Notamacropus eugenii: one gene and its partners. The protein of the gene in region 1 interacts with the protein of each later gene in a biochemical or structural test. Links are inferred from orthologs where the notes say so. Each region holds a gene or a part of one and is shown in the gene's direction. Other genes may lie near its edges.

Region 1 (7,951 bases):
GTCAGCATGGTCATGTTCAAATGGAAAAACAATGCAATAACTAAGACTATGCACAAAAACTCTAAACAGGATCCAAAATCAGTGTAATGGTAATTTGAATTGAAAAATCTTTCCTATTCATTAATAGGCCCATTAAGTCACATGGAGCCTGTGGTGGGAGGAGTTTGCTAAATGTATGGAGCAGGAGCAGAGCTGAGAGGAAGGATGCAGGCTCCTGGGTAGCAGTGAGTGATTTTGTGATTCTTCATGATTTTGTTTAAGAGACCCTGTTTGTGATGAGTGTAATGGACATGGTTTATGGGAAGCCTAGCAGAGGAAAGGCTTGGAGATGGTATTGTCCTCTGCATTCTTACTGTGTATAGATTTTTGTTGCTGTGATGGATTTGGGTCTGAATAAATGTTCTGCCTTCTTTATAGAGAGCCTGTGGTATTTCGTAATTCTGAATTGCACCCCAGTATTCATGACTGCTGTGGGTGCTATGAATATTGCATTGGCACTACAGTCAGTCAATAAGTATTATTAAGCCTTTACTATGTGCCAGGTACTGTGTTAATGATGGGGATACAAAGAAAGATAGTCTCTGCCCTCAAGGTGTCCATAATCTAGTGGAGGAAATAATGTAACGATGTACAAACAAGTTCTACACAAGGTAAACAGGAAATAATAATAGTGGGAAGGGACTAGAATTAAGGGGAACTGCTACAATCTTCCTGCAGAAGATAAGATTTTAGCTAGGACTTGAAAGAAGAAGACAGGGAAGCCAGGAAATGGAGATGAGGAGAAACAACATTCCAGGCATGGGGAACAGATTTTTTTAGATTCTTTCCACTCCACACCATGGGCAGTTAGGTGACACAGAGTGGATAGAGTGCCAGGCCTGGAATCAAGAAGATTTATCTTCCTGAGTTAAAATCTGGCATCAGACACTTACCAACTGTGTGATTAAGCTTAACCCAGCTTATCTCAGTTTCTTCATCTGTAAAATGAGCTGGAGAAGGAATTGGCAAACCATTCATTATCTTTGCCAAAAGAACCCCACATGGAGTCACAAAGAGTCAGATGCACCTGTAAAACAACTGAAAAACAACCACCACCATCACATCTATTCCTCTGCATGCCCTACTGTGTGTATATACATGTGCACACACACACATATGTACATTCAATGAGAGTAGAACAACATGAATCTCTGTTAGTAGCAAATAAACCACCTCCCCTGGTACTATTGTTGGAGGTATAATACAAATGTACGGTGGTTATTCAGCAAATGTAGTTTGTAGAAAAATATTATGTGATTCCAAGTGTGCCTGGATTGTTACTGTTATGCCAGAGCCAATTCAGGATGATTCCAAGTCGGATCTTTCAGGAGCTGGCATTTAACAGTGTCTCTAATAAGCTTGCTGTTTTAAGACAGTGATGATTGTGGCATCTCCCAAGCACAAAAACTGGAAAATGGCAACAACTCTGGAGTCAAAGGACCAGGGCTCAAACCTTGCTTCTGTTGCTTATTTACTGTGTGACATTCAACAAATCACTTAACCTCCCTGGGTCTTAGTTTCCTCATCAGTAAAAACAGGGTTTGAACTGAGGTCCTTTCCAGCTCGACATCTATGAGCCAATGGCCCTTCTCCATTTCCTTGAAAATTTTGTCGTGATCTCTGATTCAGTGACTTTCAGTGCTCTGGCTATGGAATTGATTTCCTTAAAGGTTGAGGGGTGACATTCATATTATTGCATGTTGGCACAATTTCTACACTTTGTAGATTTGTGAGGCAGGAAGCCAGAGGAAAACTGACTATACTCTCCTTTGATTGCCTTCCCCTCCCATAAATGATTTAGCTCTCACACGGTATAGCACATCCAAGAAAACATCCTTCGATTCTTAAGTAAACATGCAATAATAACACTAATAATCATCACTAATATTCTTCAAACATACAAAGCCCGTTTGGAGAATTTCTGGAAGATTTCAGAAGAGGAGGCATGATAGCACGTTCAGGCTCCAAAGAACTTGACCCATTCTAGGGAGTGTTAATAAAACTTACTTCCTTGTTGGCATATGAAAAAACAAACAAAGGAAATTTGGCCTACTGGGTAGAACAGGGGCTAGGAGGCAGGAGTCCTAGGGTTTGTTTATTTCTAAGTCCTTCCACTGCCTCCCTATGTGGCTTAGAGCCAGCTCATCTCAGGACATTTCAGTTCCCTTATCCTTAAAATAGAGAGCACACTTCTGACCTCCTAACCTTTCATAAATGCTATGAAGATGCACATTACAAACATATTTGTACCTTCTTTGAATTGCTCTTGGAAAGTACAGTAGAAATATCGTTAATGGAAATTTAGGTACTTTATTTTCTCTTTATGGTCCCAGAACCCTAAACAACACCCCAGAATTAACCTCAGACAAGATTTCATAGTATCTTAACTTTCTTTACCTTACTTTTCTTAACCTTGCTTTGGTGAGCCTGAAAAAAAGAGGCATAAAGAGCTTATGCCTTATTTATGCTACATATTTTCTCTCCACTTAAGTTATAGGCATCCTCATGGAAATACTATTTTATCATCAGGCTAAGACTGTCATTCCTGCTTTCACTAGGTGTTTTCATTTTAAATATCCAAATAGGCTATTGTATTTACTTTTTGACTCTATTTCTTCTGTTCACAAATTATTAATCCAATTTTAAGCTATGCTTTGATGTTCTTATCTCTGACCAACCACCACCAACAGGACAGGCAAGCCAGCTTAGCTGAAGCAGCAAGACATCCTGAGGAAGAGACAGGAAACAGCATACAGCAGATGGGTCAAGCAACCACTACCACCTTGAGCACCATCCCCTTGAAATCAAGTAGAAACAGAGCTCGAAAGCCCCAGGAATTTTGTTGCCCCTCCCCACCAGAAAACAGATTTCTATTGTAAAGGCCACAGTTATCACTGAAGGAGATAACTCTAGTGCAAAGTAGGCCAGTCATCCCTAACGTTACTAACAATTATTGAACGAACTGCTGCCAATGGATAGGTAAGCCTAAGAGCCCCAGGAATAGTGATGTCCTCTAGACCATCAACCCTGCTACCAGCCTGGACCCCTCATCTTCCAGGCAAAAATGTAGCTGTGACCTATTAATTGCCTCTATAGGTGCTACATCCCCCACCACCTCAGCAACCATAGCTATTGAAGACTGAGAAAATATGTTTTGTCCACCTTAGCCTTTTAAAATAATTCAGCATTGGAAACAGATATAGTTTTATCACTCTCCTACTATAACCATCTCCTTTGCAATTACATTCTAAAGACTATGAAGGCAACTAGGTGGTGCAATGCATAGAATTCTGGTCCTAGAGTCAAGAGGACCTGAATTCAAATAGGGCCTCAGACACTTCTCAGCTTTGTGACCCTGGGCAACTGACTTAACTTTTTCCTGCCTCAGTTTCCTTAACTATAAAATGGGAATAATAGAATAGCACCTACTCTTAGGCTTCTTGTGAGGATCAAATAAGATGTTATCTGTAAAATGCTTACCACAGTGCCTGAAACATAGTAGGTACTTAATAATGCTTGATCCCACCTTCTAACTTATAGCTGAAACCTCCTGTGTGTGTTGTCTCCCCCTATTTGAATGTGAGATCCTTGATAGCAGGAACTGTCTTGTTCTTCTGTTTGTATCCATAGCACTTAAAACAGTGCTTTGAACATTGTAATCACTTAATTTTTATTCATTCATATGGACTCATTTTTCTTGTATGTTTGTAACTTATTTTGGATTTCCCTAGAAAATAGTGGCTTATAACCACAAAATCGATTGCACAAATTACCTTGCTCCAGGACCTAAAGAGCCACAAATGAATTTTAATGAAGATTTAAAATACAGCTCACAGCACTGGTATCCTTAAGCGTTTTTCCAATAGATACAACATCTGATTAATGGGCACTGTGGTGATGTAGAAAGTAGACAGACTTTGGAGTTAGAGTATGTAGCTTTGAACCTACTTCTGTCACTGCATGAGTGACCTTGGGCATGCTGGGCATACCGGACTTCTTTGGGTTGAACTAGACGGTCTCTAAAGCTCCACCCCGCTCTAAATCCTGTGATTCCTATGACATCAGCAAGTTGTAGGGAGAAAAGGGAGGATTTGTGCATCATGTAAACTTTGGAGCTAATCTAAAGGCTACCCAGACTGATATCCCCACCAATGACAATTATATTAGATTCAGATAGGATTCCATAGTCTCAGCATATAAAACTTCTTTTCAAATTTAAACCATGTGGAGCCAAAACATGTTCACCACACCCCAAAAAAAGCCTTTGCCAGGGAGTTAAGTGAACAGTAAGGGCCTTTGGGAACAGCGAACAACTGGAGAAGAGATGACCATCATCACATACCATACGTAGGTGGAGGGCTTGTTATTTCCAGGATCCTGCCTACCAGAGGATGCTCCCATTGTTTCTGACAATGCTGACCGTGACCCATTACTGGTTCTCTAAATACAATTCTCTACCCCAGAAGCAGGAGCAGAGAAGTGTTTTGATGTATTGCAAGATGGACAAGGCTTGCGAAACCTCCCAGTCCTGCTGATACCAATTGCCTTTAAGATCCAGCCTTTCCTATCCTAATCTACAAAGGAAACAGGAAAAAGGAACTTCAACTCCCTGTGCTCAGACAGCAATGAGACTGTTAGAGCCTGCTCTAGTGCTTCTCTTTCTTGCCTCTAACGTGTAAACAAGATTCCCTAGAATATGCCTGTGGAAAGTCACAAAGACCAGGGTTGGTGAAGGAGCATTGGGAACCCATGTGTGGCTGTGGAAACTGGATGGAGAGATTTGGAAAAGCATGAACTCTTTAGCCCGATTAGTTCTTTATGGTGTCAGCCTGATCATTTCAGGTAAGGTTTGTCTTTACTTAGAGAAATGCTGAATTTTCCTGGAACTTTCCCACTGAATGTGATTTTCAATTGTCCCCCCACTAATTTAGCTGGAAGTATCTGAAAGTTGTGCCAATTTTCTGTTACATTTAAAATTTTTAATAAAATCGGTGAATATTAAAATGTAAGACATTTATCATGCCAGTTAATTTTTTAGAGTGCTGTTCTGTCCTAAGGGTTATAATAGATGGTGTTCCATTTTTGGTCCTTTGAATAAACTCAGCTAATGTTACATAGCTTTCGCAGCAACCACTTTTGTAATCTTTTAGTTAAAGATGCATCTACTTGCCTCTTACAGGAGCTTGAGAGATGGAAAAAGAAAATTTTCAGTGATAAATGCAAAAATAATTTAAATTCCATTCTGAGCAAAACAACTACCTTAAGGTTGAGAGAAAGTTATAATCATTAAATATGCATAGAAATTATTAGATCTAGGGTTTCTGTTTATTTCTCCATATTTGACCATAGCATTAGTAAAAAATTGGTTTTGATTTTTGGTGATGGAGGTTTATAAACTTTTCATTTAAAACAATAAAAAAGTCCACATTTCAATTTATAACAATTCTTAGACTGTCTATACAGATTAAAGTGAAAATTAGGCAATTATTCAGAAAATTTAGAGGAGAGGGACAAACACATTACTTTAAAAAAAAAGATTGGTTTTTTTTTTCAACTTGGATTTTCCAAATGAGCTGCATTGGATACTCACATTCCTAAGATATTAGGCTGTCTCTGCACATCAAGTTGCCCGCATAGACAGCCAGAAAGGAATAAGGAAAATCTGATATGCAAATCACAGATGTTGTAAGCCTCAGTAATTTTTCTTCTTTCTGAGAATGAAAAGTAAAATAGGATAAAAAAGAAATTTTATAGGATTGAAAGTTACTATATGGGAATAAAAATTACCCCAAAGAGGTGACATCATAATTTAACTCTCTGTTTTCTGAGTTCATTCTTGGTGAATTATTTTTAGATGAAATTTTAGGAAAAATTAAAAGGCCTTCATAAAGAAAATTATAAATCCATGAAGAAAAAGAAAAATTTACACAAATATAGGCATATGTATGTATATCCATGTATATATACTTATGATATATGCAAATATATAACATATATATATATATAAACTTGTTTATATGCACCCATGTTAAATGTCATATTCTTACAGTCATACTCAGAATCATTGATCCTTAGATGTTATAGACAATTATGGCCATATGTTATGACAAGCCACATCTTCAAAGGCCTAATCACTATCACCTCCTTCCCTCCCTGAGAGTATCACTTTATAAAAAAAAATGAACTTCGGCTAGAGAGGTTATTAAAGTTTTCTGTATGATGGATCTCCTTGGTAGTTGAGTGAAGCCTATGCCTTCTTCCCCTCCCCCATCCCAGTATGATGATTTTAAATGTATAAAATGAAATGCACATTTAGGTGAAAATAAAAGAATAGGGTTTTTTCCCCCATCCATGTTCAAAGACTGCCTGAAATCCATCCTTGGATCACAAATTAGGAATTCGAGGTTGACTGGGAGTAAAGCATGGTGTGAGGCACCTGGCCAAGGCAAAAATCAATAAGACATAGTTCTTGCTTTTAAGAAACTTTCAGTCTAATAGGAGGAGACGTGGATGCAAACAACTATGATAAAAGATAAAAAGTCAAAGTAGACAGAAATCTTCAGAGAATGGGCTCTTTGACTTTAAAGGAGGGTAGAATCTCTTCCAACTAGGCTTCAGAGAAGGGGTAGCTTTTGAGTTGGGCCCTGAAGAAATGGTAAAAAGTTAGTCAGCTGGGTTTATGGAAAAGAAAGAGCATTCTGCAGAGGGAAATATGAGTAAAAACATGGATGAGGGAAGCATTGGCTATCCTTTGGAAATGGTGTGTGGTTTTGTTGGTGTACAGCATAAATAAGGCATTATAGGAACGGTTACAGGAGACAAGATTGGAAGATCCAAAGTGGTCTTTGAACTCCCACTTACAGAATTTGTGTAGTACCCTCCTGAGCTATTCTCCAATGTGTAAGTGAAAGGGGAATAACTTTTTTTTTTAAGTACGAATGGGTCAACTGGAATTTCATGCTGCAGATTTTCAAGCTACAGATTCAAACCCCTGAAAATTCAAGAGGCGAATCCATATATCTCATAGTTTTTCTTATCGGTCTGTTATTTCTTTTAATTTCATGAAGTGGATTTTGAGGACTCAACATCCCTGGATCAAGGCCTTCTCACACCTGGTGGAGAATGGGAACATGTCTCTATGCATTGACAATAAGACCTGTGATTTAGAAAGCAATATTCAAAATAAATCAGACTGGAGAGAGATGGGAAGCACTGAAACCAGTGAGGAGACCTCAGCAATGCTCCAACACTGAAATGAATGCATTGCCTTATGGATTTGGGAGTTTCCTATAATGACATGCATCCTAACCCATCTATGGCTACCCATTTTGTAAGACCTTTGTCCATGCTCCTCCCTAAGTCAAACATTGGGACCTACTCAACATTTGGGAGGCCTTCCTCACTTTCTCCTGACACTGTAAGCGTATCAGTGGAGCATTCCAGCTCTTCACATTTCATGTTGCTCCTGAAGATTCTTTCCTGTCATACATTTCCTTGAATACATCTTTGCTGTTGCTCTTTGAAGTTCCTCATTGGTTAATATATTGCAGCTTGATTACTCCCACCATGGACCTCTACATTGCCGTCTGTGTCATATTCATTTTTAACCTTTCTTAAACTGTTATGTTTCATGTCTTGTTGTCACAGAGCAATGCTGGTAGAATATTTAAAAGATGGTCCTTTGTTTCCATGGAAAGTCTGGGGACACTAAAGGACTTTTTTTCATTTCATTTCAGCCTACTTTTCTCCTTTTTAACTCCAGGCCCAATTCATTGTCCATTCTCTGTCTCAGATATACATCTTTAAGGACAAGCTCTTCAGGTTTCCATCTAAATACATTTGGGAAAATAACATTTTTCATCCACTTGATTTTTCCTGTGTGGATAGTCAGGCTAAATTCCTTTGAGTAGTT
Region 2 (7,516 bases), about 460 Mb from region 1:
CAATAGGCTTGTAAGAATTGGCAGATGTGATTCCAATCTCAGAGATCTTTGACAACAAGAATTGTGCCATGGGACTTGAGAAAATCAAATGTTATGCAGATTTTCAAAAAATGAAAGAGGATGGAACCTGTAAAGGATAGGTCAGTAAGCCTGACTCAGTATACTCCTGAAAAAAAATTGTAGAACACATTATTAAAAGGATGGTTTGTAACAGCATAGAAAGGGTAGCAGTGGTCACTAAAAATCAGCATAGCTTCATTAATTTCAGTGATGTGCTGAAGCCAGTTCAAATCAGTGTGGGAAAGCTAACTGTTAAATTTCCATTGTGAGCATTTGTACCCTGGAAACAAGGACTCGATTTATTATTTTGCTAACTGCCTCTAGGCTTAAGAAAGAGATGAAGAAAACGGTAATAAAGGAAGTTAAATCTAAAAATGTGTTGGGTGTACATTTTTCCCTAAAGGGCTGGTTGCTAAACATTTATTAGCAAAACTTTGCCAAATTTCTTTCTTTCTTTCTTTCTTTTTTTTGACAGTTTTATAGGCTAGTAGATCAGGTTGATATGGTATATCGTACTTGAGGTATCAGGTAGACATGATATATTTGGTTTTAGCAAAACACTGAATGAAGTCTCTTATGTTTGGCAAAATGGAGGGATATGGGATCTAGGCAATAATGCATTTAGGTAGACTTGAAATTGTTTGATTGACTAGACTCAAAGAATAGTTATTGATGAGTTGATGACACATGGATGGTAAGCTCTAGTGCAAGGTTTTTGAAGAATCTATTCTTCACCCAAATCATAGAAGTCATTCTTGTCAATTTTGCTGGGAGAAATAGTTACCATATTGGCAGAATCTAGATTTTTTTTAAAAGTCTCAATAGATTAGTAGAATGAATTAAATTGAAAAAAATGAAATTGTATGTAGGTTCTATAAATCACGTTAACAATCACAGGCAGAAGGCATAATGGTTAGAAAATAATTGCTGCAAAAATGATCTGGAGTGTTTTAAATGAATTTCCTGCTCAAGATGGGTCAACAATGTGACATGGAAACTGAAAAAGCTAATGCTACTGTAGACAGCCTTAAGAGAAACATATGGTCCAGAATGAGGTAGTATGTAATAGTTTGATTAAATTCTGCCTTGATCAAATCACATGAGGAATAACATGCTCAGTTCTGGCAACCACATTTTTTTAGGAAGGGTACCGAAAAGCTGGAAGAGGATCAGAGGATAACAGCCAAGATGAGGAGAGGAAGAGATTATGCCATATGAGGATCAATAGAGAAGCAACTTGTAACCTTTGGTTCAGAGAAGAAAAGACTTCCAGAGGCCATGATAATCTCAAATATCTAAAGGGTTGAATGACCGATTTGTTGAGGTCAGAGACAAGTCCTGTTCCATTCTTAGATTCTGTGATCATAAAATGCAGTATGGCATAACAGACTAAGCAAGTAATGACAACCTTGGACCCAGGAATAGTGGACATCAAATCCCACCTTAAACTCTAGCTGTATTTTAATGAGGCATTTAAACTCTCTTGGTTTCAGTTCCTTATCTGTAAAAAAGTAGGAGGTGGACTAGAGAATCTCTAAGATCCCTTTTGGCTCTAAATCTATGATCCTGTGATACAAAATCCTAGTTCTTAAATTATTTCACCTTCGATTTCTTGGAGGGGCAGGCAGGAGTGTCAGGGTTCTAATCTGTGATTCCCTTTGTTTACAGAACTGGTAAGGAAACTCTCAACTAATGCAGATCAGCAACTGCTATGCACTTAAGAATTTTAGAGAGTTGAGTCATTGAAAGGTTAAGTGATTCATCTAGGGTCATACATATGGCTGGGGATGTGCTCAGGTCTTCTTGATTCTTTATCCACTGTACCATTTTTTCCCCTCTTTTTGATTACAACCCACATTTTAGTAACTTTGCTTTATATAGAAGAAGCCAAAGCAAAGAGGTAAGGTGCTAAAGGTTCCTACTTAATCTTGTTTTTAGCTTATCCCTTTCTTTTGAGGAATGGCTATTTCTTTAGAGCCCATCAAGTTGGATTTCCCTCTCTAATAGCTAATAAAAGGCACAGAGAGAACTTGGTCATGTTCTTACAAATGATAATGGGAAATAGCCAAAAATCACAGCTGACTAGATGTAGTGTATGAGAGAAAACAAACATGATTATATAAATAGCAAAACTCAAAGCTAGAGTAGAGCTAGAGAAAAGAAAATTGTTGGGCAATGCAGCCTGGACTGATTGGGGAAGTCAGAAGGAGTATTTTTAAATTTTATAATCTCATCTGCCTCTAGTTTTCATCAACAAATCACTGGAGATAACTTCAGATTCTCTGTGATAATTGCCAGTTTCAAGCCCCACAATCAAGTTTATGGAACACCAGAAGGAGATCTGGACTATGCATATTTAGCTTGTAAGTCCTCAGAAACTTCACTGTACTCACAGGCAGGGGAAGAGAAGAAAACCTGGCTTTGTAGCTATTCCTTTTTTTCTTGCCAATTACTAGTAAGAGACTAGTATTGTGTTCACCATATACGCTCCCACACATCTACATATCGTCTAACCTAATATATATAATATAATACAACATAAGGAGGCAGCGATAGTGCAATGGAAAGAATACTGGATTTGGAGTCAGAGGACCTGCATTTCAAATCCTTCCTTTGTAGCTTAGTACCTGTATGACTTTGAGCAAATCATTTTGCTTCCCTGGACCTAAGTTTCTCTGACCATAAAATGAGAGGGTCACACTAGATGGACTCTGTCATCTCTTTCAGTTCTTGATCTATGATCCCCTAATCATAGAACAATATGTATAAACGTGTGTATGTATACATATGTGAGTGTGCATATAGAATGATAGATACAGATATATGTATATACACATACAAACAAGTAACGATTCCAGTGAATAGTCATGGAAACACAGGGGTGGGGAACCTAGAAGGTCACATGTAACCTCAAGAATGCAGCTTCCACACCCCTGGGGGTCTATGATAAGGGGGTAGTGGAATAAAAACCTGAGTCTTTGAATTAGGGTCACCAATCCAAATTTAGCCCATTTGAGGTTAACAGTAGGTGTTTCTATCTGAAGGGAGATGAATATAGGTGAATTGAGCATTGAGTTAGTGATGCCTTAAGTTGAAATTGCCTATAGCTACGTTATCCTCTAACTGTGTCTGCCGTCACTACTCAGTAGGATTTAAACACCAAATAATTGGAAGAATCAACTATCTCTTTTCTCCAGATATAACTCGGAGAGAAACAAGTTGGGAATGAATTCACAGAATAGAAGAGCTCCCCCCTCCCATCCCCACCCTCAGTGTCCTCTGATTAGTCCTTTAAAGTTATCTCAGGAATCTAAGCTCCAAATCTGTTAGTCCTTCAGCTTCTAAACACTCCATATCTAATTAAGATAAAAAAACAAAACAACAAAAAAAAAACAAAAACAAAAACAAAATCCCCAATTGTTTATCTTGTACAATGGAATAAATATTCTACTCCTTCAGCCTCTGGACAGACTTACTGACCCTCAAAATTCTGAAGATAGAAGGAACCTTTTTCTTTTTTTAAAACCTGCAGCTCTAGTGTAGTACAGTGTCTGGCCCAAAGTAGGTAGGCATTAAAATGATCAGTTTTAGAGATCTTTTTTAACCAGTTCTCTTATTTTATAGCTAGAGAAAAACTGAAGCTTAGAAGGGGAATAATTTACCCAAGATCATACAATTAGTTAGTGACAGAGGAGTTGATCTGACCAGGCGTATCCCAAATAACACAATGGTGTGGGTGGTATGTGTGCTTTTAAAGTAATTACTATGTTTAAGTGGCATGTTTGGTCTTTTACTCCTAACAAATGATATGATTTCTAAGCTATATGTATGTTATATAATATATATGTATATATACATAAACACATATGGTATATTGAAATTCAACAAGGCATCTCCAAGTTTACTTTGAATATTCCAAATATAATTTGGTAACAAACAAAAATTTTCAGGGCCAAGTCAGGGCCAAGTCACTGACCCATGTAAACTGATTTACTAAAATGATCCAATCCTTCAATGATATTTTTACATTAAGATTCAGTATATTTAGGCAAAACACTCATGGTTCAGAATTCACATAACTTGGCAATTTGTTTTCCTTATGAAAGGGTGGGCCTTTTAGAGTTTACATTAGCAAAACTTCTTCCTTTTAATTTATAGTAGTTAACATAAACCAAAGTCCTGATATATCTGTAGCTTTTTACTTAAAAGAGGAAACAGGAATTTTCATTGTACTTCAAAATTAAAAACTCAAAACATTTTAGAAGAGTAACACTATTACACCAGCTTCAGGGCTGTGGTGCTCAGTTTAGGAAATACTTTGTTAGGGTGGTGCTTATAAAATACCCAGGGGTCCTGTAATTGATCAGTTTTTCCCAGAGGTTTTCTCTCTCATACTGTATTGGCTGGACAGCAGTAAGCTCTGATTTTCCTGTTGCCTTGTGAGTGACCCCCCTACAGGAAGATAACGGAGAAGCCAAGAGGGAGGAGCAGTTAAGCTACACATGTCTGGCTGCTCTTATCAACTTATCATATAAGGAAAGGAAAGTGATTGATTCAGATACCGACACTGTAGAATTTGCTCCAGAGAAACAGAAGAAACACCCAAGCTTACTTGTAAAGCTAAGCCAGAACACACAATTGGAGTAGGACTGTTCTTTCTGCTGGCATCTCACCGTTTACTGGACGACTGGAAAGAAAGCAGCATTTTGTTTTGTTTTGCTTTGAAATCAAATTTGCTAGTAGAAAAGGTGGGTGGGGGCAGGAACCCATCGACTGTCAAGAGTGTACTTTACACATGACAGCATAGCACAGCATTTCAGAGGACAAATGAATGATCTGGACTCCTAAGTGCACTGAAGTTTGCTAAGTTGGCTGCATTCTCCCTGAACGAAAGTATGTGGCTGATTGTTTTCTTTACTTTGAGCTATGATCTTGTCTTGGCGTCAGCCTACAGCAACTTTCGGAAAAGCCTGGACACCATAGGGAAGAAGCAGTATCAGGTTCAGCATGGATCCTGCAGTTATACCTTCCTATTGCCAGAGATGGATAATTGCCGCTCTACTTCTAGCTCCTATGTGTCTAATGCAGTGCAGAGGGATGCCCCATTGGATTATGATGACTCTGTGCAGAGACTGCAAGTACTTGAAAACATCATGGAAAATAACACTCAGTGGCTCATGAAGGTAAGAAAATGACAATTCATATGGTTGCATGAAAAACCAAAGTTCTGTTTTCACTTTTTGCTCTAATAAACAAAACAAGCTTCACCAAAGACAGTTCTTTGAACTACCACTTATTTTTCTGTATCTCAATGCATAATCTCATCTAGGCTTGCATGAAAAGGATACCACAATGAAAAATGAGCAGATTTACCTCCAAGGTGGAGAGTCAGTGTTAAAGGGCCGTGTGTGTGTGTGTGTGTGTGTGTGTGTGTGTGTGCGTGTCTGTGGCATGGAGTAAGCAGGAGGGAGGGTAAGTATACTTCTCTGCAAAACAACTAGGCTGTTTTGTTTGTACAAGCAATTTAAACTTAGTAACAACAATTACTAACATAACTGGCTGCAGGCATGTGAGGGAAGTGGTGAGCAGCACAACAGCGCCAGGACAAGGAAAAAACGTGCTAATCATGATAATTACTGATAAATAGCGGATGGTGGCAACGTTACCTTCTGGAGTAAGTGCTTTACCAATTTCCTGAATTTATTTACTGAAACCAATAATAGCTTTTTGGAAAACGAGAGGAAATTAACTTAAATAGACCTTATGTTTTCCAGAAACTTAGGGTTTTTAGTCAATGGGTCTGTCGTTTGTAAACCGTTTGTACTGTTTTTGTCAAGTGTTCTTTCTGAAGGGATTCAGTATTTCTCTTAGAACCCAGTAAACTGCTTTCAAAATAGGTCCACATGTGCTTGATGTTAGTTTCAGAGAGATGAATTTATGCTGTGTAAAGATCTGCTGCTTTTTACTCACTCTTTTTGTTCTTATTCTCACTCTCTCACTGTGCCACAAACTTTGAAAGAAATGTATGATAAAAAAGGCACTCTGGAAGCTAAGTTGTTCTTCAAGAAGCAATTATTTCCTCATGCAAATTTTATCTCATGGATAAGAAAACCAAAACCTTCTAAAGTTTCTTTTTACTGAGAAAAAGAAAAAAATGTTTTCAATATAGTACTCAATAAAATAATAATTATGCATGTGTGATGGAAATAATGTCACAGTTTGGAGAGACATGTCATTTATAATTATACAAATAACCGAGGTAACTGTCAGTTCTCTACCAAAATTTCACCCAGGAAAATATCACAAAGTATTTTCTCCATCTAGAGCAGAAATATTTAATTTCCTTTTCAGCTGTCTATTAGCAGCTATCACATCTTAATCTCATAACAGATATCTGCCTGGCTTTTTATCCCCTGCTGTGAATCCACTTAAAATAAGGGAAACCACCGAATGGCACTGAAGGTAGGAGCCCATCTATACAGGAATGCATCCCCTCACCATTATTCCTCAGCTGAACTAGTTCTTGGTTCAAACAGTGTTTAACTAGTTAAAAACTTCCAAGAAATGATGGCAATACTAACTTACTCAATTTTTTAGAAAACTCCCACCATGATGATAACATCTGTGAAAAGAGCCACATCAGCTGTGTATATTTTCTGCTAAAGGTTTATTCTTTCTTATCTTTAAAACCTTTTACACTTCTGTATGTACAAATAGCTCAGCTAAATTTGGGCGATATTCAGCAATACAGGCTCACATATCTGAAAGTCCTAAATATCTACCTGACACTAGCTTCCTATTTCCTTCTTTCCATTGTTATGTTCACACTTAATAATCTACTCATTTTAACTGTGACATGGGTAAAGGCCAATACTAACAGAACCTCGGTGAGGGATGAAAGAAATAGAGCAGTAAACACTCCCTTCTATCCAGCTAGTAAGTCATTTCCTAAATAAACAGTCAGGGGATATAAAAGATTGTTTTACAAATACAACATAGTTTAATTGTATTTGCTACAATTAAGGCCACCTCCAGGTAACTAAATCTAATCATTCTTTCTCAGCCAAATATCCAGTTTTCCTACAAGTCTGAGAATGTTTAATGAAGGAAAAAGTTAAGCAACCCTATTCCAGGAGTTGCTTAACCTCAATCCTATTTTACAGGTTCCAGAAATCAGAGTTTTATGGGGCAACCAGTGAAAATACTTCTTTACTCATGAATATAATTATCAAATATTTGAACAAAAATACAATAGTGTTCCAGAATGCAGCCTTTAGACATCCAGCTAAAATATCACCTAGAGTGACTTAATATTGACTTTGCATCTGCTTAACACCTGCTCTGTTAACCCTATCTAATAGACCTAGAAAGTGCACCTGAAAAACTCCCTGGTATTGTTATTTACACTTGGCTGGCAAACAGAAGCAAGAGAACAAATAAAAAACCACCACGCGAT
Region 3 (7,979 bases), about 320 Mb from region 1:
TCTACCTCACAGGGTTGGTGTGAGGATCAAATAAAATTATATTTGTAAGGTACTGAGCACAGTGCCTGTCACACAGTAGGTACTTATTAAGTACCAACTTGACCAAGTGCAGTGTTGAAGTCAACTGAATGTTTGTGGCCTTCTTGGGTTTACACAGTCCATGGGGCCAGAAAAGTGGGGTGTCACCTATTGTTATGGGGATCCCCTTCCTTACACAGTATGATAAAATACACACACAGTCATGTCTCTGCTCTGCTGCTGAGGAATCCTGGGCAAATCATTGAACTGAATTAGGCCCTGATTTTTCCATCTGGATGCTAATATCCTACCTTGAATTCACATGGATATCATGGAACTCAAGTGAAACAAAGCATGTGAAACTGGTTTGAAAAATATAACACAGAAGTCAAATTTTAAATGCTATAAATACATGTATGTATATATATATGTAAATGCTATATATGTAAATATAAAGTCTGTCATGACTTACATAATTAAAGAGAATAATGCTTAAACTAGATAGTAGTAGTCTAGGCTAGATTAAACTATAGACACCGTGGCTCAGCGAGAAGAATCCTGGAGCAAGAGGACTCCGGGTTCAGATCCCACTATGAACATTGTATAAACTTGAGCACTTAGTCACTTAGCCGGTTCAGGCCTCAGTTTCCTCATCTGTAAAATGAAGGGATGTCCTCTGAGAGTCTTTCCAGACCAAACTCTATTCTCCTGTGAAAAGTCTGCCATTGCTTCTTGCTACAGACTGCACTGGTCTCTCTCAGCTCTAAATATTACTGTGGATAAAGACTTGACCTTAGAGTTAGGAGCCCTGGATTTAAGTCCTTCCTCTGATCTCCCAGTAGGATGGTGGACAAGTGACTTAACAGGTCCCTAAGCACTGCTCTAGTACTCTGAGTTACAGACAAGGTGCCTAGTAGCAGAAGTAGAGTTAAGTTTCCTCATTTGAGAGTTCCCTAGACAACCACTGGGCCAGCCCCTGTCCCTATCCCTCTAATAATCCTGCATCTGTTCAGTGTCTAGGCCTGGCTTAGAACTCATTATCTTTCTCACCAAACCCATCCCATCTCCTAATTTTCCTGTTCTGTTGAGGTCACCACCATTCTTTCCATGACCCAGGTCCTCAACCTAAGAGTCATCCTTCACTCTCACTTATCCTTCCCACCCCCATATCCAATTAGATGCTGAGTTTTGTCAATTCTACCTCATCAATACCTCTCCTATATGTCCCCTTCTCTTGACTCATACTACAATCACCCTGGTCCAGGCCCTCCTCATCTCTCACCTAGACTATAGCAATACCTCCAGAATGGTTCTCCCTGCAAGGGAGGGAGGCAGCTATATTGCACATGGATAGAAAACTGGGCCTGAAGTCAGGAAGTTCTGAGCCTAAATCCAGCCACACACACTTACTAGCTGTGTGACCCAGGGCAAATCACTTCATCTGTTTGCCTCAGTTTCCTCATCTATAAAAAATGGGGATAATAAAAACACCTGTCTCCCAGGGTTGTTGTGAGGACCAAACATGATAATGTTGAAAAGGGCTTAGCAGGGTGTTTGGCACATAGTAGGTGCTTAATAATTGCTCATTTTTTCCCCTGCATCCAGTCTCCCCCAACCCACCCTACCATCTTAATGCAATCATCTCAGAGGCTCTTTAATCCAATCTCCTCATTTTGCAAATGAGGAAACTGAGACTATGAGAGACTAATTTCAGAACTGAATTTTTAAAAGGCAGGAGGAGGGTACTATGTGTTCATTTACAAAGGTTTCTGTTCAAAGCAGGCAAAAGGTAGAAACTCTGGATAGCCGAGGTGGAGGCCTGCTTGTATAGTGTAATGCGGATGTGGTCCTTGTGTTTGTCCTGAAGGGAGGCAGAGTAGACATCTCTAGCCTCTCCTCCCCTCATCCTTCTCCAAGGGAGACTTTATTCCATCCTCCTCAAGCTGTCATGCTGATGTTTTCTGACCATGGCATTCTTGTGCTCAAGAATCTTGAGTGGTTCCTTCCCTTCGAGATAACATACAAATTCTTCTCTTTGTCATTTAAAGTCCTTCACAGTCTGACCCCAGTCTCTTTTTCCAGGATGATTGCACATTACTTTCTCTCATTCTGAGCTCCAGCCCCAGTGGCTGACCTGCAACAACTCATATACAAACCCCCATCTCCCACCTTCATGCCTTCAGCTTGGAGTGAAATGATTACAAAATAGCCTGGTTTAAAGAGACCTCAGAGGCCATCTGGTCTAACCTTTGAACTGCCCCCCCCCCCCTTCCCTCCATGCCCAGCAGGTTCTCCTTGCTCCCCTCTGCCCCTCTTCAAGGATCAACTCCTTCATGAGACCTTTCTTCGTTCTCCAAGGCTTTAGCTCCCTCCACCCTTCAGTCCCCCTTAACTGTGTTTATTTTGTATACCTCTTGTATTTACTCATCTCTGAACAGGTAGCCTTCCTCCAATTAAAACCCAAGTTCCATGGGGTCAAGGACTGTCTCACTTTGTATCCTCAAGACTTTGCCATGCAGGAATAAATTAATAAATGTTTATTGATTGGTTGGTTGGTTGGTCACCCTTCACAGAATCAAAGAATGATAGAATTTCAAAGAGAAAGTAGAAAGTAGAGTAGTGGATAAGACTACTGGACCTGGAATAAGGAAGACCTGCATTCAGATCTGTCCTCAGACACTTAACGACCTTTGTGACCCTAGGCAGGTCACTTGGCCTTCATCTACCTCAGTTTCCTCATCTGTAAAACAGAATTAATAATAGCCCCTATTTCCCAGAGATTTTGAGGGCCAAATAAGATGATAATTATAAAGCACTTCGCACAGAACATAGTTAAGTGCTATACACATGCTGTTGCTGTTGAGCCATTCGGTTATGTCTGATCCTTTGGGACTCCATGGATCATAACGTGTCCATACTGTCCATGGAGTTTTCTTGGTAAACATACTACAGTGGTTTGCCATTTCCTTATCCAGTGGATTAAGGCAAATGGAAGTTAAGTGACTTGCCCAGGGTCATATAGTTTGTAAGTGTCTGAGGCCAATTTCAACTCAGATCTTCCTGACTCCAGGTCCAGCACTTTAGCCACTGAACTACCTAACTGCCTCCATATAAATGTGAGCTATTATTATTATTAATAAGATCAAATGAGATTTTGTAAAGTACTTAGCACAATGTCTGGTGCGTAGTACTGGTACTTAATAAATGCTTATTTCCTTCCTATAAAGGGCCTTAGAGATCACCTAATCCAATCCTCTCTCTCAGATAGATGATAAAATTGACCCTCAGAGCAGTGTAAAGTGACTTGCTCAAAATCACACAAATAGAAAACAAAAGAGCCAACTACTAAACCCAGGACTTATGACAAGTCCAGTCTTCTGTCCACCAAATTCCTCAATATACAGCATTCTACATTTTTTTCCCCAAGATGGTCTTTTGCAGACATAACTGTATTTGTTCCTCATCCAACACACCTGTGAAGGAGGCAGGGCAGGGATCACAAGTGCCCTCATTTGACAGAGAAAGAAACTGAGGCCTTGATGAGAGATGAAGAAACTGATGCCCAGAGTGGAGCAGCGATTCTCAGAAGTCAGACTCAGAGTGTTCTGTGACCTCCCCACTTCCCTTTCTAGTGAACCTCTCTGGCTCCCTCATTTCAGTCTCCCATCCCCACAGCTGGGAGCACAAACTCTCTTCACAAAAGACTGTGTTGTGTGTGACCATCGTGGATTAGCCAAGGAATCATCTTCTCCTTAATGTCTCTTTCTGTAACCCTTCCCAGGTCCAGCTGGTCCTGATCACACACTGATTTCCTGGGTTGTGTCCATGGTGTGAGGAGAGGAGGGGAGAAAGAGCTGGGGATCTGACCTGGGGTTCAAGCCTCTTCTCTCCAAATTGTTTTCTCCCTACATAGGGAGGGAAAAAAAGCCTCCTTCCCTCCTCCCCCCTCCCCAAATATTTTTTCTTGGGGTCATTCCAGCTCTGGGCCAATAGGTGGCCAGCCAGATTAATGCTAAGCAAGAGCAGGGTAAAGTTGGTGGTGGGGTAAGAAAGCCCCAGAGTGGTGGTGGAGGAGAGGGAGAGGTTGTGTGAATAGGGGAGAGTGAGGTTGGGGGGGAAGGAGGGAGGGGAGGGGCAGGGAGGTTGAAATTTGAGCTCTGAGCTCTGGGAGTGGAGTTGGGGGAAAGAAAAGAGAGATTTGGGGTTGGTGTTTGTGAATTTTTTTTCTTGCTGGGATGCGGCGTTGGGGGAGGCTGCTAGACAGTTAAGAGGACTTATAGGGGCGGAGAAGAGAGGAAGAGACTGCAGAGCAAGGGAATGAGGGAGGAAGGAAGGGGAAGATGAGGAAAGAATAGAGGTGAAGGGAGGGTGGGGGGAAGAGGGGGAGTGTGGAGGGGAGAGGAAGCAGCTTCGGTATTTAGAGCGAATATAAATAGCCTAGCTGTGTGGTTCCCAACCACAGCCTCCCTGAACATTTCAGCGGGCAGGGCTCCTCAGCTGTCTGTCTGTCTGTCTGTCTGTCTGTCTCCTCATTCTGACCAGGGACAGAAGACAGCAGCCTGGCCAAGGGCAGAGGAGACCCAAGAAAGGTTTTTAACTGTGCCACCTCCCTAACACATACATACCTCTACATACATAAATACACACCTACTCATACATATATACACACAAACACATATATCAATACACACACACACACACACACACACACACACACACACACACACACACACACACACACACACTCCACAACCTGGGAGGCCCTGAACCAAATCATGAAGACCAGCACCTTCTTCCTAGTCCTAACCACTGTGGCCACAGTGAGCACCCAGCGGAGGAGGGCCGAGGGCAGTGCCCATCGCCGGTCCCACCGGGTCCAGCACGGTCAGTGCAGCTACACATTTGTTCTGCCGGAACCTGAGCCATGCCCATCAGGGCCAGAGGCCTTTGGCAGCAGTGCCAATACCCTACAGCGGGACTCCCCAGCAGAAGCACTTCGGGGGAATGATTGGTCAGTCCAGAGGGTGCAACAGTTAGAGCGCGTTCTGGAGAACAACACCCAGTGGCTACTGAAGGTGAGTTGGGGGAAGGGCAGGGAGGGGGAGCCTGCTTGGAGGAGGGGGGGGGGGCACTGTGGCCCCTCGAGGACTTGGAGCTGGACTGGGAAGTTTTAGGGCCCTTGGAAATTTAGATTCTCCTTCTACAGTCAATAATGGATAAAAAAATCAGACAAGAGCAAAGGGGAAAGAATAATCCGTAGTCATCAAATGTCAGTGATGGAAGGGTCCTTAGGAGAGTCAGTTTGGTGCAGTGGAAAGGAGACCTGGGTCCATTTGGGTCCCCATGCTCCTGCTTCCTAACTTTGGGCAAGTCCTTTCCCCTCTTGGAGCCTGAGATGCTCTTTGCAAAATCAGAATTTGGAAGGAAGGGGAGAGACATGACAGCTCCCAGAAAGTATGTGGAGGCCTGTCATATAGAAGATTCAGCTTAATCTGCTAAGTTCCAGAAAGGAACTATGAGATCAAAGGGTGGAAGCTCCAGAGGCACAAATTTTGGTTTAATATAAGAAAATGCCTTCTAACCATTAGAGCTGTCTAGAAGTAGAAGGGGGGGGGGGGGGGGAAGAGAGAGAGAAGGGAGGAGGAGGGGAGGGCAGGAAGTGAAGGGTATCCAATCATTGGAGGTCTTCCAGCAGAGGATCCAGGTCCACGTGTCCAGGAATTCTTGCTCAGGTATAGGGTAGACAAGACAGTATCTGAATTCCTTCTAACTTTGCGATTCTGTGATCCAGGGATTCAGAGTTTCTGTGATTCTTAAAGTGCCTAATGATTCCCATCGTACCAACTTCCCTGGGTGATGAGGAGAGCTTTGTAAACGTGAAAGCAGTAGAACCGTGAGCTATTGTTGGCATTACTGCTATTGACATAAAGCATAGCATTAGCGCTATCAGAGACCTTATAGGGTATCTTGTCCAAACCCTTGTTTTACAGATGAGACTTGTCGAACCCAGAGGGCAGTGACTTGTTTAAAGTCACATGGGGAGTCGGTGGCAGAGCTGAAGCTAGAAACCAGTTCTCATGTCCCAGCTTGGGGCACTTTCTACTACATCCTGATCAAATAGGATCATTTAGATGTTTATTTTCTTCAATATAGTCCCCAAGGTTTATTTACAACACTTCACTACAACCCTGTGAGATACAGTAATTCTAGGATTATTAACCCTGTTTTACAGATTTATAGCAATGGGATTTTTGTCATTTTGTTATTCAGTTTAATACAATAAACATTTATTAAGTACCTGCTATGTAGTAGGTCCTGTTTTCAGTGTTGGGAATACAGAGCTAGATGAGATACAGGCCCTGCTATAGCCAATAGAGTGCCAAGTTCTTGAGCCAGGAAGACCTGGGTTCCAATCCTACTTCTGGACCTGGACAACTAACTCCTTTAACCTCTCTGAACCTTAATTTCTTCACCAATAAAAGCAGGGGGGAAGGATGTTTAGACTAGATTGCCTCCAAGTTCTCTTTCAGCTCCAAACTTATGATTCCTATAATCCAATTAGGGGAAGATTTAATACACAAATAAATAATACAAGGGGGGAGAGAGATAAGTGCAGAGAAGAGAGCCAAGGAATCTGCTCTGTGGAATTTGAGACAGGAAAAACTCTGGAGTAAGGTAGGAGGATTAGGGAAGACTTCATAGAGGAAGTCACACATGAGTTGGGTCTCAAAAAAAAAATGGAGGGAAACATAAGGTTATAATCACTTGTCTATAAATGAGGCTCTGGGAGGGGCAGGGGTCTGGTGGGGACCAGAAACCTAGATTCTTCCTACATATTCATTGCAGAGATAGCACGGTATCTCACCTCTGCTACTTATGGCTATGTGGTCATTGATAAGTCCCCTGTCCTCTCTTCACCTCAATCTCTTCATTGCAAAATGAGGTTAACCCTTTTAGTGCCTGCTTCACAGAACTGTTGTGAGACTCTGGTAAGATTGCATATGTGTGATCTTGAAGGCTTTATAGCTACTACATCAAAGCCTCCACTTACCTATTCAAAGACCAGTTATTAAGTATTGAACATATTCAGGACACTGTGCTTAGCAGCAGAGAAGTTAAAAAAAATCATCAGAGAAGTGGCCCATGGACCTTCCAATATAACCACGGGGCATAGGACACAAACACAAATATACAAGATTGTACAGTGATTCTGACATAGAATATCATAAGAGAGATTCAAAGAGGCCTTTAGGATGGAAAGATCATTTCTGATTGATTAAGGATGGAGTGAAAGGAGAAAATTTCAAGAAGCAGAGATGGAGGTAGAGAGGAAATAAGAAGTAAAAAGACATTTTAGGCATAAGAAACTGATTGAACAAAAAGGAGGGGGTGGGAAAGTGAGGATATAGAAAATGACTTTGAGTGGTTCATGGTGGGGAGGAATAAGAGGTGAAGCATGAAAAGTATCTCAGAATCCCAACTGCATCTTAGCATTAGAAGGTGCTTAGAAGCCACCTAGTCCAAATGACACCTATAAACATCCCCAAAGAGACCTTTTCTTGAAAACCTCCAATGATGGGGAGCTCACTACCTTATTCAATAGCTTGTTTCACTTTCAGATAGCTCTAGTTTCACAGGATAGCCCTTCAAATACTTGAAGACTCCTATCCTGCACCCACCACCACTACCAGCACCAAGTGTCCTCTATCCCAGGTTAAACATTCCCTCCTACTTTAGCCATTTTTCACATGATAGGACATACTATAAATGAATAATTAGTTGGACCTAGAATTGAACATGAGTAGAAGCAAGGACAGATTGCCTCTGGGAAATTGCGGAATTCTTTTAATTACCTCTAAGCTTCTCCCTGAAACAAGGTCCACCTTTGGAATAATGTTATTCTTTTGGTGCTGTCTTATGGCTACAACTCAAGGGGCATTGCAATATCCAAACAATTAAAG
Region 4 (8,122 bases), on another chromosome or scaffold:
AAGCCAAAGACCAATTGTGAAGGATTTTATGTGCCAGGATAAGGAATTTGTTTATTGGCCTATAGCCAGGATTCTTAATTTGGGCTCCGTTGGTAGATTTCAGGACTTTTCAGTCTTCATCAAGATGACTAAACTGCCTCAGCATCTGAGACCTCTGTATCCTGGGAAATCTATTAACTTCTTACCCTGGAACATCCCTCTGCAAATGCCAGTAGCTTTCTCCCAGTGGTAAATCCTCCACACAGCCTTCATTTTAAGGAGGTTCCCAGGCAAGCCATTCTTCATGCTTCTCTCAGTTTTCCTCCTGACTTTGCCACCATTTTGCTTTTCAACTCCTCTTGTGTGTTGTCTTTCCCTTTTAGAATATAAACTCCTTGAGGGCAGGAACTATATCATATTTTACTTGAATTTGTATCCCCAGTACTTAGAACAGTGCCTGGTATGTAGCAATTAAATAATAAGTGTTTGTTGCCTTGACTTGTCATAAGGGGATCAGTGAGTGTAGATGGAGAGGAAATTACATTTTTGTTTTAATTAAATTGGTTTCCTTTCTAAGTTTTTGTAAATATTTTTCTGAGACATATTTTTTTTGTATTTTTTTTCTGAGAAGGGGTCCATAGACTTTACCATACTTCCAAAAGCATCTGTGACATACAAAAGATTAAGAATCTCTGACCTATAGGTTATAATAGGGAATCATTTAAGATTTTTCAGCAGAGAAAGGACATATCAGATTTTGCTTTAAGAATGGAGGGGGAGCCAACCATATATATACCTAATAAAGGCAGGAATGTTGCTAGGCAAGAGAAAGATGATAACCTCACCCCCTAGATTTGGTATTTGTTCTTATGTCTTTCTCCCTCTAATTTACTTGCATGGAAGAGCAAAAGAATTTTGAGGCTGGAGAAGGAGGGGCTGATCTTGGATCCATTAGGCTTTTGATCATTTAGGGAAGGTAGTACTGCAGCTAAAGACTCCAGGTTAATCAAGAAGTTAGAAGCACAGCCAATTCTACAGCCTCATGTCCACTGCAGCTGGGCCTCACAGGGACCAGCAGCAACCATGGGACCACTTTTGGTTCCATTAGGCAACTACCACATGAGACCAGGAAGGAAAAATGCCCATCAGAAACTACATGCCATATCTACCTGTTCATCAGAGACTAGGTAAGCAGCCAAGACTACACATATGGCAGAAAAGACACATGCATCAGAAAGAACAAGGTGGAGCAAGCCCAGTGCGGGTAGCATGACAATATCATTGGAATACATTCATGACTCTACAGCCCTAGTTCCACCTCTGAGCCTTGGTTGGCCACACTTGTTCTTTGACTGTGTACCATGTGTTTCTTATATATGTCTCTCCTTTTCACATTAATGATGCAGTGTATTTAGGAGAGTCTGAACCAGATTTATGGGTAAACTACTCTATTGCTTGGCACCCTAGTTTTAAAAGTTACCCTAATTTTGTTGAAAGACTTTTCCTAGAACTAGTTGTGTCCTCTGTATGACCAGAGAAAGAAAGCATGGTGATGGACGCTTGTGGGATATGCTCTTGAAAAGATACTGCGTCACAGAAGACTTTAAGACTTATTTGGGGAATCCACAATAAGAACTGAGGTGCCCCAAGGCATTACAGCAAGATCATTTTCGCAAATGCATGGAAGCTAGACTAGAGAGGGGAGAGGCTGGGAATACAGCAAGAACAGGAAATCAGAGGCTGATGAAATAGTTTAGGTGAGAGGTGTTGAGGATTTGAGGTGGGTGGTGGTTGTATGAATGGAGAGGAGAATAATGCATGAGACAAGTGTGGAGAATCAAGAAGACTTGGTGACAGTCACATCTTCAAATGGTCTGAGTGTTTCCTCCCTTGAAAACTCAGCAGCTGGGGATGCCTCTTTTTGGAATAACCATTTCCTATTGCACCATACTGGGAATTTCCCACTTGTCATTCATTCAGATAAGACAAATGAATACACACAAAGATGTGAGCACACACAAACACACACACATATACATGCAAGAACTGACGTAAGTATTGGCTATTTAAATACATGAGAGAATTATAAGTGAGGAATATTGATCATCCTTTTATCCTCTGCCAATTATTTGTTGGATTTTGTTCTTAGCAAAGCACTTATAGGTGTTAGCTTTGGAGTCTCCTTTTCATGAATAACTTTCAAAGCAAAGATTATAAGAAAGATTTCTTAGAAAAGCTTTGCTTTCTCATATTATTTTTTGAATTTGGGATCTACCTCTCCCACCCCAAAAATTAATCATAGGATCACAGATCTAGAGCTGAAAGGGATTTTAAAGGTCACATAGTATAACCTCCCAGGAAACTGAGACCAATAAAGGTTTAAGATCATAAAGTAGTGAATATCAGAGGCAGGATTTGAATATAACACTCTGATTCTGGGAGGCAGCTAGGTGAAGCAGTAGATAGAAATCTAGGCTTGGAATCAGGAAGACCTGAGCTCAGAGCCAGTCTCAGGCTCTTATTAGCTATGTGACCCTGGGCAAGTCATTTAACCTCTGTTTGCCATAATTCACTGGAAAAGGAAATGTCACACCATGTCAGTATCTTTGCCAAGGAAACCCCATAGACAGAATTGGCGTGCTGTGGCTACAGGTTACAAAGAGTTGGACACAACTGAAAAACAATCGTGATTCTGGAGCCCAGTGCTTTTTCTGCCACACTACAATTCCTGGAAAGAAGGGGTTTTTTTGTCAAAATACTCTTAACCTTTGCTCTTTCAGGTAGCACATACACTGCTTTAAACATGAAGGTCTGTTTGCAAACAGGAGACTATCACTTCATCCAGCCTGAAAAATTTCTGTGCCTTCTAGCACCACAATACAGTGATAGTTCTTGTTTATGTGTGTGAAATTTCAGTAAACAGGAGACAGAATAAAGGTGTTGCCAAGGATAGTAAAGAGATTTTTACTGCCATAACTGCTTTATTTTTTTAAAATGTCACGACAACTTCTTTCTATATTGATTGTATCTCCAAGGATTTGTTTGTTAAGGAATGATAAGAAGGGATAAATCCTAGTACCAATTTCCCAAAGCATGGAGTTTGACTGCTATTCCAGATTTAACCCTTCCTTTACACAAACTATCCTTACACTTTCACACTTACCCTAGACCTGGAGTCAGGAAGACCTGAGTTTAAATTTGACCTCAGACACTTCTAAATTGTGTAACTCTGGGAAAGTCACTTAACCATGTTTGTTTCAGTTTCCTCATCTGTAAAATGACCTGAAAAAGGAAATGGCAAACCACTCCAGTATCTTTGTCAAGAAAATGCCAAGAGTCAGACATAACCACTGTCATTACCTCCCTTCTGCTTCTTCTTTCTCCCCTTCTCTCATCTGAAGGACCTAATTATTCTGTTGCTTACACAAAGGGCACCCTATTCTTAAGATATGGTTGCAGTTGTGGTGATGCATTGTTTATAAATCCTTTAAAATCCTGGGATCACAGATTTAGAGCTGTCAGGAGCCTTGGAGTTCATTTAATCCAACTATTTGATTTTTATAAATGAGGAAACTGGCCCAAGGAGGTTGTAACTTGCCCAGAGTCACAGAGGTAATGAGGGGTAAGCCAAAATTTGAGTCGGGTCCCTCTGATTCCAGAAACTTCACTTTCCACTGCATCATACCCACTAGAAGCATGGTGTTATACCAAATCCATTTTTCTTACATGCTGATTAAAATTCCTTTAGTATCACTTGTACTTTACATTTCACTGATTATTATTTGATTTGGAAAGCTTATGCTCTATCTTCTTGGAACTTTTTTCATTTAAAACTTGTTCCTTCATTAAAAGGTGTATCTAAGTTCTCTTGCTACTGAGCTGTAGCCCTTCTTGCTGTAAGATCTCTGGAGAAGAGGTCACTACAGCCGTAATGAGGATTTATGTGGAACTTGGATAGTAGAGCTAGGGAGAACCATAGCAACCCCCAATGAGGTCTTTGTGATATACATGATTAGGACATACCACAGGAATTAATAATTCTTAGGACACTCTCCTAAATTGTTACCACATTGTTTTTGCAAGGAAGTTGCTTCATTTATGTACACAGAACAAAGAAAAACTGCCTTCTGAGTAGGCAGTTTCTTAAGAAAGACACCCCCCATTTCCCTGCCCCCCAAAGTCCACAAAACCCCACGGGGGGCTTATCCTATTTAGCATGCATTGGGGAGGTGGAGAATTGAGGAACAAGACATAAAATCATTTAACTCTTTATACTCGATTTCCCACGGCCCCCTCCTTCCCGTTTTCTTTGGCATCTGAGAAAGCTTAATACGTTCAAAAGGCTAAACTTTTATTTAAAAAAAATTATGAATTTAAAACATCTTTTCTTAAGTTAACAAACTTTTGAAAATAATATAATTTAATAAACATTGTCCAAAAGGATTCCTCAAGCGTAGTGGAAGAACTTTTCTTTCAGCGCTCCCAATATTTAACTGGAACTTACAAGATACTTCCAGAATGCCAGGTTTTAATAGGTCGGGGCTGGAACACCCAAAGTATATTAAGGTGGACTGCTGTATGCTTCGATTCTCTGAGAGTCCCTGAAAGACTGAGCGCTGCTTTTCGAGCAGGAGGGGCTGGGCGGGCAGCTATACATGATTGAGGTCATGCGCATCCAGCCAATTTGTAAGACGATCCCTCCCGCACTAAGCTGTCGGCAGTCCTTAGCATAGGGGCACACTCAGGCATTCCTGTCAAGTCATCTTGTGAAAGGCTGCCTGCTTCCAGCTTGGCTGGAAAGCGGAACCTTAATAAAACTCACTGAGGTCGGAGGGAAAATAGCAGTCCGGCTGCAGATAGGGTAGAGGCAAGGGGCTAGGATGTGTACATGCTGCTGGCTACAACAGGCTGAACAGTGCTGAACTGTTACACAGAAAGGAAATAATAAATCTCCGCTACCATGCAATAAATATCTCAACTTTTAACGAAGGGAGCTATCATTCCAGTGAAATAAAATTGAAAAGTTTTTTAGCTAAAGCTACCAAATGAATCGTTTTCTAGGATTCTTCTTTCAGAGCTGACTTCAAAAAACCACCCAAAAGCATTTTTTTACATGCAATAAAAAAAAAAAATACTGGTTAAAGGACGAAGGAAGAAGTAACTGGGGGGTAGTTAAAAAAAAACAAAACTAAAAGTTGTGCCAAGGCAGACAAGAAAGGTGCTGATACCATGACAGTTTTCCTCTCCTTTGCTTTCCTTGCTGCTGTTCTAACTCACATAGGGGGCAATAATCAGCGGAGAAGCCCGGACAGCAGCGGGCGAAGATACAATCGGATTCAGCACGGACAGTGCGCCTACACCTTCATTCTGCCGGAGCAGGACACTAACTGCCGAGAGAGCACCACGGATCAGTACAACACCAACGCGCTGCAGAGAGATGCTCCTCTCGTGGAACCGGATTTCTCTTCCCAGAAACTGCAACATCTGGAACATGTGATGGAAAACTATACTCAGTGGCTGCAAAAAGTAAGTGCTTGCTTTCAGTTTCTCATTGTACTCGAGTCCTTTATCCAGGCTTGCCCTGCAGATAAGTTAGTTTGCTCAGTGTGGTGGGGGAGAAGGGGGGGAGCGGCTGGGAAGGGAACTTTTGTTTACATGTTGCTTGGGGGAAAGACAGTCGCTCAAGTAACTGCAGGGCTGCTTTCTGTATGGGACTTCCTTAGCAGGGGAATCAGACTGTTCCAGCTTGTCCTGGCTGGCGAAGGGGGGTTGGGGGTGGGGAACGGGGTGTCACAGATCTTAGAGTTGGTGAGTTTACAGAGATTTTAGCCCAGGTGTGCGCGGTCCCCTCAGAGCTGTCAGTGATGGCACAAGTATGAAAATGTGCTTCTCATTTAGGACCTCAGAATAAATGTCACCAAAACATGCCTCCATGTTCTGACTGTCAGCACCTAAATTGAAGAGTAGTAGCTCTTAAGAAGAAGTTTTATTTTTTCGGGAGTGGGGGAATGACTACAAACTCTTCTTTTTGGAGTGGAGAATGTTGATGGAGGAAAAGCAAATCCACTTCACATCAAATCTCTTTGAGCACCGGCAAGGAAAAGTGTCATAAATTAACTTTTGACTTACCACTAAATAAGTATAAAGTAAGAATGTTTGTAAAGTGTAAATAGTGAAAATTGCAAGTGTTTAATTTCTAGAAATGATCCTAAAGGGTAATGTAACCATTTCTGTTCTATGATAATTCTAGACTTGAGAAAACAGTAAGATCAGAGATTTTAAGATAGAAGTCATTAGGGGTGGGTTATCCACCCAAATCTTGAATGGATAGTCAAGCAGCTATTGGCTGTTAACTTACCAGTGCACCTGCAGAGGATGGGATGCAGTACCTATTCAGTTCTTCAATCCTGGAGAAATGAAAAATATTTTCTTTTTTGGCACAACTGTTAGATATACTTCTACTGAGCAAGATTACAGAGTGTTTGGATGACAAGATTACACCTTTTGGGGCAAATATTGACTGAAATTATTCCAGTTTTTAAAATCATATTGAGTCAGTGGACATGTCTAGACAGAAGGTTGGCTACTTGAGGGTCTTAACTGAAGACACCTCTCAAATAGTATCACCTTAATGGCTGTGTCTCATGCTGTGGTTTTCCTTGTGTGGCAATAGATGATTTTTACTGAATGTGTGAGATTGGCCATATCACTGTCTCCAGGTTTCAACAAAATGTGTTCCAGCATCTAGGCATTTGGCTTTACAATAGTTATGTCATCACTTAGAAAACAGAGATCAGAATGCAACCAGATTTCTCAAACCAAGTTAGGTTCAAAACATTTGAGCAGAAAAGTGATGGAAAAGACAGAATGCTATTGTGTGTGTGTGTGTGTGTGTGTGTGTGTGTGTGCATGCCTGTGTGTATCTGTGTCTGTGTGGTCACACTTCCTGAGTAAACTGCTTTCTCCATCATGCCTTTGAGGTTTGTTGTTCTGCTTTTCTCCACTAGGGACTGAACTAAGATCACTGTTTCTTTTCTTGGCATGTAAAAAAACCTCAAAGTAGGAGACCTAGGATTTTAAAGTCTGGAATTGAAACTAGTTCTCATCCCATACAAGTGCAAATCAGCAGGCCACAGGTGACAAAAAAAAAAAAAAAAAGTTGATGAAGAAAGAGAGTAGTGATTTAAACCATTCATCATTAATAATCTTCATATAAGTTTCAGGCAAAATCTCAAACCAGCCTGAATAGAGAAGCAGCAGTGATCCTTCTCCAGTTGTCTCCTGGTTCAAGAGGGAGGCCCACAGTAGGCAAATGAGTTTGACTTGTATAGTATCCCAGTTATTAATATACTCTCCATATATTCTTTTATTAGAATTGGTCATTGTAAAAGTATTTTCTGTTACCTGTTCTTTAAAAAAAAAGTGCATTTTTTTGCTTGGAATATTTCAAAAATAGGTGTACTATAAACAGCATTGGGCATGATGATATTAACATAGTAATGTATGTTTTTGGTTCTCTGCATTTAATAGCAATCAGGGTAACTATTAGTAGACCACAGGCTGAAGATTCAAATTCAGCAAATAATTCCTTTCAACAAATGTGTTTTGCTTTCTGTTCTTTTGCAACAGGAAAAGTAATGATTATATGAGAAAACAAAATATCAACACACATTTGCGGAAACCTGTTTTTCATAATATTATTCTATCATTTGGACATGTGGACCACCTAAGCGTTAACATGTGAATTTTGGTTATCATACCAATTCAAGTGACATTAAACACATTTTGTTTAGTAATTGATCATGTCTTCCTTTTTACTATATTTTCCAAGCATAACCTATAATTTTGAGGAATGATGCATATGAATCTTCTCTTTCAAACTTACATTTATTCAGAAAATATATAAAACTTTTGGATGTATTCACCTTTAGTTTATGTCAGTAAAATTGTACCTTTACTGAAAATGTTTCTGCTATGACTCTAGCAGCTTCTCTGGAGTGTGGTGGGATGAAATTTACATTATAGCTTGTCATTGTTAATTTAATTGAATGGAAGATCAAGCAATCACCTAAACGCATCCAATAGACCCTAATGAGAAAAAAAACTGCTTAATGCTAGGATTTTCCTGGAAACTAGAAAATTT

What was found.
Region 2: the proteins of TEK (region 1) and ANGPT2 form a complex in vitro, tested with the Homo sapiens proteins (7 studies listed by BioGRID and IntAct, with this or other methods). The link is inferred for Notamacropus eugenii from reciprocal best matches to the Homo sapiens genes TEK and ANGPT2.
Region 3: the proteins of TEK (region 1) and ANGPT4 form a complex in vitro, tested with the Homo sapiens proteins (2 studies listed by BioGRID and IntAct). The link is inferred for Notamacropus eugenii from reciprocal best matches to the Homo sapiens genes TEK and ANGPT4.
Region 4: the proteins of TEK (region 1) and ANGPT1 form a complex in vitro, tested with the Homo sapiens proteins (6 studies listed by BioGRID and IntAct, with this or other methods). The link is inferred for Notamacropus eugenii from reciprocal best matches to the Homo sapiens genes TEK and ANGPT1.

The regions. Positions count from the first base shown.
Region 1 is NC_092872.1:117,272,966-117,280,916, forward strand, and holds the start of TEK (angiopoietin-1 receptor), read left to right. Parts: upstream 1-4,648; 5' UTR 4,649-4,829; coding exon 4,830-4,881; intron 4,882-7,951. UniProt on the Homo sapiens protein: Tyrosine-protein kinase that acts as a cell-surface receptor for ANGPT1, ANGPT2 and ANGPT4 and regulates angiogenesis, endothelial cell survival, proliferation, migration, adhesion and cell spreading, reorganization of the actin cytoskeleton, but also maintenance of vascular quiescence.
Region 2 is NC_092872.1:574,682,644-574,690,159, reverse strand, and holds the start of ANGPT2 (angiopoietin-2), read left to right. Parts: upstream 1-4,516; 5' UTR 4,517-4,955; coding exon 4,956-5,243; intron 5,244-5,627; exon of another isoform or gene 5,628-5,710; coding exon of another isoform or gene 5,711-5,734; intron 5,735-7,516. UniProt on the Homo sapiens protein: Binds to TEK/TIE2, competing for the ANGPT1 binding site, and modulating ANGPT1 signaling. Can induce tyrosine phosphorylation of TEK/TIE2 in the absence of ANGPT1.
Region 3 is NC_092872.1:432,577,345-432,585,323, reverse strand, and holds the start of ANGPT4 (angiopoietin-4), read left to right. Parts: upstream 1-4,419; 5' UTR 4,420-4,793; coding exon 4,794-5,093; intron 5,094-7,979. UniProt on the Homo sapiens protein: Binds to TEK/TIE2, modulating ANGPT1 signaling. Can induce tyrosine phosphorylation of TEK/TIE2. Promotes endothelial cell survival, migration and angiogenesis.
Region 4 is NC_092875.1:142,145,761-142,153,882, forward strand, and holds the start of ANGPT1 (angiopoietin-1), read left to right. Parts: upstream 1-4,572; 5' UTR 4,573-5,208; coding exon 5,209-5,505; intron 5,506-8,122. UniProt on the Homo sapiens protein: Binds and activates TEK/TIE2 receptor by inducing its dimerization and tyrosine phosphorylation.